Mus musculus: one gene and its partners. The protein of the gene in region 3 purifies or fractionates together with the protein of the main gene of each other region. This does not show direct contact. Links are inferred from orthologs where the notes say so. Each region holds a gene or a part of one and is shown on either strand. Other genes may lie near its edges.

Region 1 (3,646 bases), on a different chromosome or scaffold from region 3:
ACATGCTCGGGCTCCAAGTGTGTTTCTGACCATGAATGTAAGACACAAAAGAAATCAAAAGTTAAATTGGTTAAAGCTGGTCACTAAGCATTCTTTTCAAGTTCTATAGGCTGGGGAGAATAACAATAAACCTGTGCTCTAAAGGACAACCTAAAGGACATGAGCATAATCTTGAAGGGGACTTGGGGAAGTAGGAAACAGTTACCACTTCAGTGCCCCATAGACCAGCGAGGATTCCTGGACACGTGGTCCTAAGGAAGTTCAGATTATAACTTGTGGATCTGTATATAAAATGTGTCATGCAGGTTACAAATACTTGTATGTGCTCAAAAATAAACATGTACATACATGGGAGCCCTTGTGAATGCGTGAGCACACACACAAACGTATAATGTAGAAGAGGGTGATGGTATTATAATATAATATCATAAATAATGGTCAAATTGTTTTTACTTTCAACTGTAAATTTAGGTAAGAGTTTTCAAATTAGTAGAATGCTTTTGGATATTTAAAATAGCTAATAGAAAAATTTCTCTGACTAAACAAAACTAGAATTAGCTAAAGTGAGCCTTTTTATTCATAGGGAACTCAACCCTATGTATGAAGGATTTCTACAGCATGATGCACAGGAAGTGCTACAGTGTATTCTGGGAAACATTCAAGAAACATGCCAACTCCTAAAAAAAGAAGAAATAAAAAACCTGGCTGAATTATCCGGCAAGGTTGAAGAACAATCTCTTCAGAAAGAGGAAACAGGTGGAATTACCAGCACAGAGATTGACAGTATGAGGAATACGGAGGACGTCAAAGAGCAGCTCCCCAAAGGGAACTGGAAAAGAAAAAGTGACAGTGAGTCGAGTAACGTGAAGAAAAAGGTTAAACTGTCCAGGGAATCCCAGCCATTGGAAGAAAACCAGAGACAAACCAGATCCAAGAGAAAAGCTATCGGAGACACACTAGAGGCTGCTCCTAAGATCATCCCCAAGTGTGTTTCTGAAAGTGAGAGTGCAAAGCCCTCACAGAAGAAATCAAAAGTTAAAATAAATTGGTTAAAGCCATCCACTAAGCAACCCAGCATTCTTTCCAAGTTCTGTAGTCTTGGAAAAATAACAACTAACCAGCGCTCCAAAGGACAACCTAAGGAAAAGGAGGGTGATGTTGAAGAGGACTTGGAGAAGTACGGAAGTGACCACACAGCTAATGGTGGACCCGAATCTCCAGGAAGTAGCGTCACACCTGTGGACAGCAGTGAAGCCAAGTCCGGAAACAAAGGTCAGTGCAGTTACTAGGTTGGCTAGTGAGGGTGATGGACAGGATTTAAGATAGTCAATTTGCCACAGCACTGTACATGTATTATGTAGTGCTGTTGTTATTAGGGTAATTTTGCTTGATGGTTTCTAAACTTGGGAAGTTAAAAACCTTTTTAATGGGAAAAACCTTTTTAATTAAAAAGGGGAAAAACCTTTTTAATGGGAAAGCTGTTTTTTTGCGCCTTTTATCTATGCAGTATGAGCTCAAGGGAAACTGAGTTCAGTGAGTCTTAGACCTGAGATATAACTGCTTTGCTTGGTTTTGTTTACTCATGTATTCATTCCTCTTAGGGAAAATCTGCCGGGCGTGCTGTAGTTATTGTGGTTGATGGTTGCTCCAAAAGATTTGTTTCTCTGGGGCAGTTTTATAAAGACATGTCTTTAGGAAGCAAGTTAAAGACACAGCCGACATTGTTCTAAAGATAGTAATTCATATTTAAAAAATTTTTGGTAGGAATTTTACATTTCATGAATAAAGCACTGCTTAATAAGATATGAAAACAGGTTTTGTGTTCACGATGTACTTTCAATAGGGAATTAATGAATTGGGCTATACTGAAAAGCAAATCTGCATAAACATTTTCCCATTTTCATTTTAGGTGCTGAACAGATTGGCTTTGAGCTAGTAGAGAAACTGTTTCAAGGTCAGCTCGTGTTAAGGACTCGGTGTTTGGAATGTGAAAGCTTAACAGAAAGAAGAGAAGATTTCCAGGATATTAGTGTTCCAGTGCAAGAAGATGAGCTTTCCAAGGTCGAGGAGAGCTCTGAAAGTAAGCGGACGGGCGGGGAAGCCTGTGTGTGCAGACTGAGATGGCTAGAGCGTCCTTCCTGTTCTCAGCACCACTTGTTAATTCTACTTGCCAATTTGTAATGGAAAAAATGAAATACTTTAACATCTGAGACCTTAATATTTTATTAACTGAAGTCATTTTAAGTTACTACTTGAGCTACTGTTGTGTTCAATGTAAATCATAAAAAGTATGGAAATGTCCTGAGGAATCACGAGACTGGCGACTGACCTGAGACTTGGGCTTATTTGGCTTTTGGTGTGTGTCTCTCTGTGTGTGTGTGTGTGTGTGTGTGTGTGTGTGTGTGTGTGTGTGTGTATGTTCGGCTAATACTAAGTATTTAGATGTTGGGGATCAGTTATTTGAAACTGAATGATATTGCACATGAAACTTGGTTTAAGTTTTCAATGTCTGAAAGATATTTATGAGTGAACAATTCTGTTTTACAGTTTCTCCAGAGCCAAAAACAGAAATGAAGACCTTGAGATGGGCAATTTCACAGTTTGCTTCAGTGGAGAGAATTGTAGGAGAGGATAAATACTTCTGTGAAAATTGCCATCATTATACGGAAGCAGAGCGAAGTCTCCTGTTTGATAAAATGCCTGAAGTTATCACTATTCATCTGAAGTGCTTTGCTGCTAGTGGCTTGGAGTGAGTATTGTGAATAAGCCGAGGGAGACAGTGGCTTTGTCTACAGTGCTGTGCCAAGTGAAGTCGTTTGTGAGAATCGACTCTGTGCTCTTAGTAAGCAGGTTCACTGGGCATAAATATATGCTCTTTTGGAGCTGGTGGTTCAGTTCAGTGTGCTTGTCTAGCAGAGAGAAGGTTCTGGGTTTGAACTGTAGCTCCAGAAAGCCCAGTACAGTTCTCACACACCTTTTCATATGCGTTCTGTAGGTGCTAGTAGTAGAAGTCTGCTTCTGTGGGACTGAAATGGAGTAATTTTTTCTTTTTCTTTTTTTTATAAATTTACTTCCAAGACAGAGTGTCTGAGTAGGCTAGGCTGGCCTTGAACTCAAACTCACTTCCTTCTGCTTACTGAGTGCTGGGATTAAAAGGCTGAGAAATCTACAATCTATTCCTTCTCTGAGATAGATAGGGTTGACTCAGACTCAAGCTAGGATTACAGATGTGAGCCACCATACCTGACATTGGGGAATGGGGAGGGGATTAAAATTTTCAGTTTTAAAGGAAATCTAGTTCATTTCTGAAAACTTTGGGAAATTTTGTAGTTGAGAATTTGTCCAAAAGCTTTTAAAAATAGATATAAAAGTGGCTGTTTTGAATAATCTTGTCTTTTCTGATATGCTATTGTATACTTCATGGTTTCTGCATGCTAATTTCCTAGTGTACAAATCTAATAAAAGAATGAAGAAAATATACTTTCCACAGAAACACCCAAACATCAGTTAAAGAGTGCCTCACTGAGGAGCTCTGAATGGTCTGGAGTTTGCTATGTACACCAAGTTGGCCTTGAACTCAAGAGATCCACTTACCTCTGCCTCTCAAGTGCCAGGACTAAATGTGCGCACCGTTATACCTAGGTCC
Region 2 (3,646 bases), on a different chromosome or scaffold from region 3:
ACAACTGGGAGTTTATTTCCCCCTTTCTACAGTTGTACATGTGGTTGTTGTTGGAATAGAACAGTACCGCGTGCCCTCAAGGACGGGAGCGCCCTTCGGGTGGACGCTTGGCCAAGACAAAGCTCTAGATTGGTTGCCAAGAATCAGATAGCCTTGCACTAGGAAATAAATACAGTTGCCCTTCCTGTGTGATTCTTCGTGGTGGGTCTCATCCAGGTCAAGGAAGATGCTGTCTGTGAAGATGCTTTTGGCTAGAGAAAGGCTGGCTGTGGTGTGGGCCTTTTTCATTGCCTGAACCAGCAGTCAGTGGTGCAGGGCAATGTTTGATTGCTAGTTGTTACAGCAATGTTTCCATTGGAATATTGGATACAATCAGGGAATTGGATGTTTTATGTTTATTATAATGAACTTTGATCTGTTACAAGACATCAATATATGTGTACATATATGTATTGGTACATACATACACACACTTTAGCCTTCAATAAAACAAAGTAGTTACTTAACATGTTGAGAAATGTAGTAATAGGTGAGAAGTCAGGTTTGTATTGGATGGGGAAGACAGACAAGAAAGCTTTTTGAAGGAGAAAGCAATATTAGCCATTCTGTTCGAAAGTCTGACTATTCATTAATGTAACTTGTATGGGGTAGGTACTGTTTTGCTACCAATAAGTTCTGTGGCCATCATTATGCCGATTCACAGTGAGTACTCATGTGGCTGCCTTTATCGAAATAAGCTAGGGAGTGAAAGCTGGGTGTTCTCCGGAGTGTGTAAATACACATCGTTTCTTTGTTTGATGACACACAAATCTAAGAACCAACTCTGCCAGAGCGACGGTGAGTGGAGAGTAGAGAGTAGGAGATTATTAAGCTGGAAGTCTTGCCTTCAAGATGCCCAGCAGGGAGCAAAGATGGCCAGTGATGTCCAGACAGTGTTAAAGGCCAGGCCGGGCTCCATCCTGAGTTAGGTGTGCCGTGGATACAGTGAATACAGTGGAGGTTCAGAAGGGAGCCAGCCCCGCTGCTGTACCTCTCTGTGCTTTCCTCTGTTCTTCCAAGGCTGATTTCAGTCACACACCTTGCCTTGCCTTTTTCCATTTTTCCCCCTTAAATGTGGATGTTGCCAAGTTTCATTGTATGTGACTCTCGTTCTGCATCAGGGACATCAGTCTATATCCATTATCACAGGCCAAGTCAGTCCCACCCAGTTCTCCAACCTCGGTGGCTCGTCCTACAAGTCCTGGCCTTGAAGATCTCGTCCAGAGCACCTGGGCGGTGTCCACATGGAGCCTGTGCTTCTGAGGACCAGGGCGACACTGTGTACTCCCTGTGTCGTCACTGGGGAGCCAGGGAGCTGGTCAGGTGCTGGGTGTCTTCCCATCCAGGAGATGTACGAGGTGGACAGTTGCTCGGTGCTTTTCTGGTATTTCAGACCAAGTGGGTGTCTTTTGAGTATAGGACATTGAACCTGGCAGCTGGAAACTGGTTTCCTGGTCATTGAAATAACTCCTGTTTTACAGATAAGCAGCAAAGATGAAGATTTTTTAGACCTTTCTGTTGACGTGGAACAAAACACATCAATTACTCACTGCTTAAGGTTTGTGTAGGATTATTTTCTCTGCAGTTTCATATTTACTTTCGTTTAGAAGATTTTTAAGCGAATTAGTAATTCTCAGGTATCCCTAACAAGCCCAATTTGTGTTTTTCACAGAGGGTTCAGTAACACAGAAACTCTGTGCAGTGAATATAAGTACTACTGTGAAGAGTGCCGGAGCAAGCAGGAAGCACACAAGCGGTACGTGGATGCCTCCCTCCTTCCCTCCCTCCCTCCCTCCCTCCCTCCCTCCCTCCCTCCCGAGTTCGGACATCAGAATGTGGTGGTGTGAGTGTGTGGGGATGCTGACTCGTGTTCAGGGGACTATTTTCAGGACTCCACCCTTCTACCAGCTAAGGGTCTCACCTCAGATCTTCAGGCTCGGGCAGAACTATTTTGCCAGCCTGTTTCAAAATTATTTTAATGATTCTGTGGCCAGGGATGTTGGGTAGGCTTTTCTATCTGAAAATGATGTGCAGAATTGCACATTGAGTGCTGCTTCTTGACACACACACTCTCTCTCTGTCTCTGTCTCTGTCTCTGTCTCTGTCTCTCTCTCTCTCTCTCTCTCTCTCTCTCTCTGTGTGTGTGTGTGTGTGTGTGTGGGCGTCTGTAGATTGTGCATATGCACAGGCAGAGGAGGACATGGACACTGGATTTTCCTCTCAGTTGCTCTTTGCCCTGTTTTCCCTCTGACAGGGACTAGCACTGGACCTGTGCTCGCCCACTCACTGTTTTGTGGATAGGTGTAGCTAGTGAGCCCCAGTGATCCTCTTGCCTCTGCTCAGGTCCCTCCTGCCATTTGGTGTGTGTGCCTCACATCATGCAGCCCTGTCTGCCCTCGAACTCTGGAAACCGGGCGGGTCTTAGACTCTGAGAGCTTCCTGCCTCTATCTCCTAAGCACTGGGATAGACGGGTGCCCTGCCGTACCTGCCTCAGGGTTTTGTTTTCTTTTTTTAACCTCGTGGGTACTGGGATCCAAATGCCATTCTCGTGCTTACATAGCATGCATTCGTATCCGCTGAGCTGTCTCTCCAGTTCTACGTTTAGTTTGTGCGTTTAGCCTTTAATAGTTGTGCCGTCTCTCCAGCTCCAGTCCCACATTCTTACTGTCAGCCTTAGCAGTTACGGCTCCGTGAGAATCGCTCGATGAATGGTGCCAGGCCGGAACCATACGCTACATCTGTGGTTCATGTCTTCAGGTGTTGGGCTTAGATGTCTTAGAGGAGTCTTGCGGAGATGCATCTTGTTAACTCAGTGCTTGGTATGCAGTCATGCTCACAGCTAATGTCATCACTGAAAAAGATACAGAGCAAAGGACAAAGCCAGGCAGATTTCCAAGAGGCCCTGTTCCAGTGAAGTGACACAAGACACTGAATTTCCCCTGTCTAATGACATCATGGGAAGCTCTTTGAGGGCTCCATGCCCGGGTTTGCCATTCCAGGCTTATTGTGCAGGCTTACTCGGTTCCTTGGCTCCGAATTCCAGGCCCTCAGAGGGAAGCAGGTGCTGGTCAGACAGCTCGGGCCCGAGGGAGAGCTGATGAGTGTGGTTTGAGGCGCTCCTTAGACCTCAGTTCCCAAGTGCCAGGGAGTCTGCTGGCCATGCTGGGTCTCTGCACACGACACTGCTGCTGCCACTGTCACCCAACTCTTGGTTAAGGTATTTCCTGGAATTATTCTTGTAAGCTACGGTTTCTCCTGCTGCAATTTTTAAGTATTTAGTGTAGATTTAAAGATTGCAAATACTTCATTCTTCATTAAACTGCCATTTTAAAAACTTGAGGCACACCCAGACAGTCCATTACTCTTCCTGTTTTTGTGTTCCGGTTATCCACAGCCCAGCTGGTGGCGAGGGGAGGTCCCTGTGGCTCCTCTGGGCTGTTGCTCCCTCATACGTTCTGAGCTCACGTTGGAACTAGCTGATCCTGTGCTGCTGTGTGGTCCTGCTGTGGGGAAATGTGTGCCTTGCTGTTCAGGTTCCTGAGCTCCTGAACTGAGCAAAGGATGTGTGGCCATTCATAGCTCTGCTCTGTGCCTGTCTGTACTGAA
Region 3 (4,182 bases):
GATTTGCCTGGAATATGTCTATGCATTACATTGGAGCACTGTCTTCAGGGTGAGCTATTATATGGGTCTTCTTGAAGAGCAGCCCACGCTCTTAGCTGCTGAGCCCTCTAACTCCGGAAAAAGACTTTTAATTAGTGTCTACATCTGCAATGCCATCATGAGAGTGGCAACTCAATGACCAACGTTTATCAAATTATTTCAAATAGTTAATTGCCCTAAACCAGCTTGGTTCAACCAATAAAAAAATGTTTATAGATCATACAATGTAACAGTAAACACCCATACAACATAGGTAGAGCGTAGGTGGTGAGCAGTTTGTGGACGGAAGTATGGAGAACAGACTAGACTGGGAAACCTTGTCTCATTCACCCTTTCTACCCGGCCCCGAGTGCGGAAAGAAAAATCCAGAAAGAACCAAGAGAAAGCAAGTCTATCTCCTATCCCACTATGACTCCATTTTAATATTTCTTCCTTCGTCCACTGCTTTGTGTCGTTAAGCTTCTTTTAAGCTTAAAACCAACGGGATACAAGGCTCCAAGCAGGTCCTTAGCTATTTCTGTCCTAATAGGGGAGGGAGTAAATGGGTTTAATTTGAGTGCAAACACTGCTAGCTTTCATGGGCCTTGAAAAAAGTGCGGAAAAAGTCAGGAAGACGGGGCCAGCGATCCTGTGAACTGTGTATGTATTTTTGTCTCATACAAAGGCCTTACCTAGAGTTTAGAGTTCCTAAAAACTCTCAATTTCAATTAGCCAGGAAAATAAAACTCATCTGGCAAGCAGGAGAGGATCAAGTTAATGAAAAACGTTCACAGGACACAGAGTTCAACGGCAGAGGGCACAATACCCACCAACAAGGGCCAGAAGCTGGAGGAGAGGGTGGGCAGAATTTGATGATATCTGGGCCTTGTAGTTCGCTGTTGGTCTCTTCTGGGTATCCTCGACACGAAGATGAACTACAACCCCCACTGTGCAACGCGAGCCCCTCTCGCCACCTCTCCTCTATGGCGAGGACAAACCTCCTGGGAAACAGCTCCGCCCCACCCCCGTACGCACGCGTCACGTTTGTTTACCCTGAGGCCCCGCCCCCAGCCTCCCGCTCTCCGCAGAAATGTCGTCATGCTAACGATGCATATTCATGATCAACTCCGCCCCGCCACCGCCCGCCTTCCCGCGCTTCATTAATATTCATGAGGCGAGCTCGGGCCGCAGCTCCCGGGAGCTGAGGCTGTCCAGCAGCGGGCGGGGCCTGGCGCTGGGGAGCCCGCGACCCGCGGGGAGGGTGTGTGTGGGGGGGCGGTGGCGGCGAAACGGGCGGGCGGCGCGCGGGATGGAACACCGAGACACCGACGGAATGCTCCGGATCGCCACATAATCCTCTGGAGCGGCCGCGCCGAACGCCATCGGCGTCTCCGTTCTCTTCGCGCCGCCGCCGCCGCCGTCTCCCACCTTCGCCTCACCTCCTCCTCCTCCGCTGCCTCCGGAGCTGGGGGAGCGACGTGAAGCCCCGCTACGATGGAGCCCGCCGCTGCAGCCCCGGCACAGCGACTCGCGGACCCCACGGGTGAGGACCAAGCCCTGGCGGCGGCGGCGGCCGAGGGCGGCCGGTGTCCGGATCCCGCGCTGAGCGCGGCGGCCCCGAGCGGCGGGAACGGCGGCGCGGCGCGAGAGGAGGCCCCCTGCGAGGCGCCGCCGGGGCCGCTGCCCGGCCGCGCCGGAGGCACCGGGCGCAGGCGGCGGCGGGGAGCTCCCCAGCCCGCGGCCGGTGGGGCCGCTCCGGTGCCCGCGGCCGGCGGCGGCGCCAACTCGCTGCTGCTGAAGAGAGGGCGGCTGAAGAGGAATCTGTCGGCCGCCGCCGCCGCCTCGTCGTCCTCGTCGCCGTCCTCGGCGTCTTCGGCCGCTGGCGGCCTCCCGGCGTCCTGCTCGGCCTCGGCGTCGCTGTGCACCCGGAGCCTGGACAGGAAGACGCTGCTCCTGAAGCACCGGCAGCTGCTTCAGCTGCAGCCGTCGGACAGGGACTGGGTGAGGCACCAGCTCCAGCGGGGCTGTGTGCACGTCTTTGACCGCCACATGGCCTCGTCCTACCTGCGCCCAGTGCTCTGCACGCTGGACACCACGGCCGCCGAGGTGGCGGCCCGGCTTCTGCAGCTGGGCCACAAAGGCGGCGGGGTGGTGAAGGTGCTGGGCTACGGGCCGCCTCCCGCCGCCGCCCCTGCCGCCAGCGATCAGACCCTGGACGGAGAGCACGGAAGGGACGTGGAGCCACCGCCCTCGAGCGGCACTGTTGGTGCTGTCCGGGGCCCTGCGCGCGCGCCTCCCGCCGATCTGCCGCTGCCCGGGGGCGCCTGGACGCGCTGTGCACCCCGCATCAGCCCCGCGCCTTCGGACTCCAGCCCCGGAGAGCTGTTCGCGGGCGGCCCCGGGTCCCCTCCCCGCGCCCCGCGCCCGGCCTCTGACACCGAGAGCTTCAGCCTGAGCCCCAGCGCCGAGAGCGTGTCAGACCGGCTGGACCCCTACAGCAGCGGCGGCGGCGGCTCCTCGTCGTCGTCGGAGGAGTTAGAGGCTGATCCGGCCATGCCCCACCGCCCCGGCCGCCCCGCGCAGCCTCGGCCGCCTTCCCCGAAGACCTCGGCTTTACTGCAGCCGAAAGCCCCGACGGGCGTAGACAGCACTGGCGTGATAGCGGGCGAGGGTCCCGGAGACGATAAGGCGATGGCAGCCGCAGCTCCGGACGTTCCTCTGTCGACTTCGGGGAGGATACGGGAGACCGTGCAAAAGACATCTCCGCCCTCCCTGTATGTACAGCTCCATGGAGAGACTACCCGGCGCCTGGAGGCGGACGAGAAGCCATTGCAGATCCAAAATGACTACCTCTTCCAACTGGGATTTGGGGAGCTGTGGAGGGTGCAGGAGGAAGGCATGGACTCAGAGATTGGCTGTCTCATTCGATTCTATGCAGGTAAGGAAGTTGCCTGCATGTTTATGCATGGCTTCGAACCTTGGCAGGGATCGATAAATGATTCCAGGGGCCTGGTGAGTCTGTCTGACACTCTTTTTCTAGCTTGTTCACATGCCGCCTGTGCAAGTACTAAATTGAGCATTCTTGAAATCTGCAAGGTTTAGAGTGTCCAGGCCTGAGGTTGGAAAGCCAGGTGGACAAGGTGACAAAGTCACCTGGAAATACAGGAAACAGGTAACACCCTAGAGGGGTACCAGTCCCTAACTTTAAAGGTGGTTTCCTCCAGGCCTCTGCTCTGGTTCGTTGGGTTGCAGGCGTTTTGGGATTCCAGGTAACTCCTTGACACTTTAATATAGACAGAGGACAATGACCAACGAAAAAATGCTCCATGATGCCTTCCTCTATTCAACTGTCCACAGTTTACCATTCGTAGACAGTAAAGTGCAGCGTGGGCCTCTTGGGAACTTTGTTCTTGTCAACTGATGCTCTTGTTTGTTCCACTGTCTGCCACGCGTGCGTATTTGCTCGCTGAGTCCTCATTGACACCTGAGAAGTGGGTATGTTCCTTGTTTTGGGTGCTGCTTACCTTCTGCCCTCTTTCATTGCTTTATTTCAGTTTCCAAGTTTGAATCTTAAAAAAAAAATGAATTGGCCTGTTTCTGAGTTATAGCTTTTATTGTCAGATACTTGAAATAGACTAGACTTAATAATGTCGGTGATTACTGCTTCTGATATGACCTGAACTCCTCTCTAGCATTTTTAGTATCTGTTCAAGTGCCTATACGGGTGTGACCAGTCAGTTTCTCCTCTTGGCTGGAACTAATTTGTGGAGTTACAGGGCTATTGGTTATTGTTTTTGAGCTTGGTAAGTTATTGCATTTTCTGGTTGAAAGAGTTTTTAGTGGTCAGAACTTAGCTAGCTAGCTTAAGAGCAATAAAACTTTTGGTGTTACATTTAGGTGTATATACTAACAACCTCGTGACTCCCATAGTGGTTGGTTCTTCCACATTAGTGTTTTTTCATTTTAGTTCAACATGTGCCCTAGTTGCAGTTTGGTTTGAATGAATGAGTCTTTAACACTTACGTTGATAATGCAAGGCCTCATCCCTGGACATAAACATAAACTGTTTTATTGAAGCTTTTTTGAACTTAAGTGGATATTTTGATTAATATTTGCCTTATAAAGAAAACCAAATTGTAATACAATAGCATTTTCCTGGAACTA

What was found. The genes of interacting proteins can lie anywhere in the genome.
Region 1: the proteins of Phlpp1 (region 3) and Usp1 purify together in Homo sapiens (affinity purification with mass spectrometry; 6 studies listed by BioGRID and IntAct, counting the BioPlex papers as one, with this or other methods). This does not show direct contact. The link is inferred for Mus musculus from reciprocal best matches to the Homo sapiens genes PHLPP1 and USP1.
Region 2: the proteins of Phlpp1 (region 3) and Usp12 purify together in Homo sapiens (affinity purification with mass spectrometry; 4 studies listed by BioGRID and IntAct, with this or other methods). This does not show direct contact. The link is inferred for Mus musculus from reciprocal best matches to the Homo sapiens genes PHLPP1 and USP12.

What each region holds. Positions count from the first base shown.
Region 1 is NC_000070.6:98,930,277-98,933,922, forward strand, and holds part of Usp1 (ubiquitin carboxyl-terminal hydrolase 1), read left to right. Parts: intron 1-583; coding exon 584-1,272; intron 1,273-1,909; coding exon 1,910-2,080; intron 2,081-2,547; coding exon 2,548-2,749; intron 2,750-3,646. UniProt on the Homo sapiens protein: Negative regulator of DNA damage repair which specifically deubiquitinates monoubiquitinated FANCD2. Also involved in PCNA-mediated translesion synthesis (TLS) by deubiquitinating monoubiquitinated PCNA.
Region 2 is NC_000071.6:146,749,844-146,753,489, reverse strand, and holds part of Usp12 (ubiquitin carboxyl-terminal hydrolase 12), read left to right. Parts: intron 1-1,188; coding exon of another isoform or gene 1,189-1,302; exon of another isoform or gene 1,303-1,408; intron 1,409-1,520; coding exon 1,521-1,597; intron 1,598-1,711; coding exon 1,712-1,795; intron 1,796-3,646. UniProt on the Homo sapiens protein: Deubiquitinating enzyme that plays various roles in the regulation of the immune response and inflammation.
Region 3 is NC_000067.6:106,170,492-106,174,673, forward strand, and holds the start of Phlpp1 (PH domain leucine-rich repeat-containing protein phosphatase 1), read left to right. Parts: upstream 1-1,377; 5' UTR 1,378-1,512; coding exon 1,513-2,956; intron 2,957-4,182. UniProt on the Homo sapiens protein: Protein phosphatase involved in regulation of Akt and PKC signaling.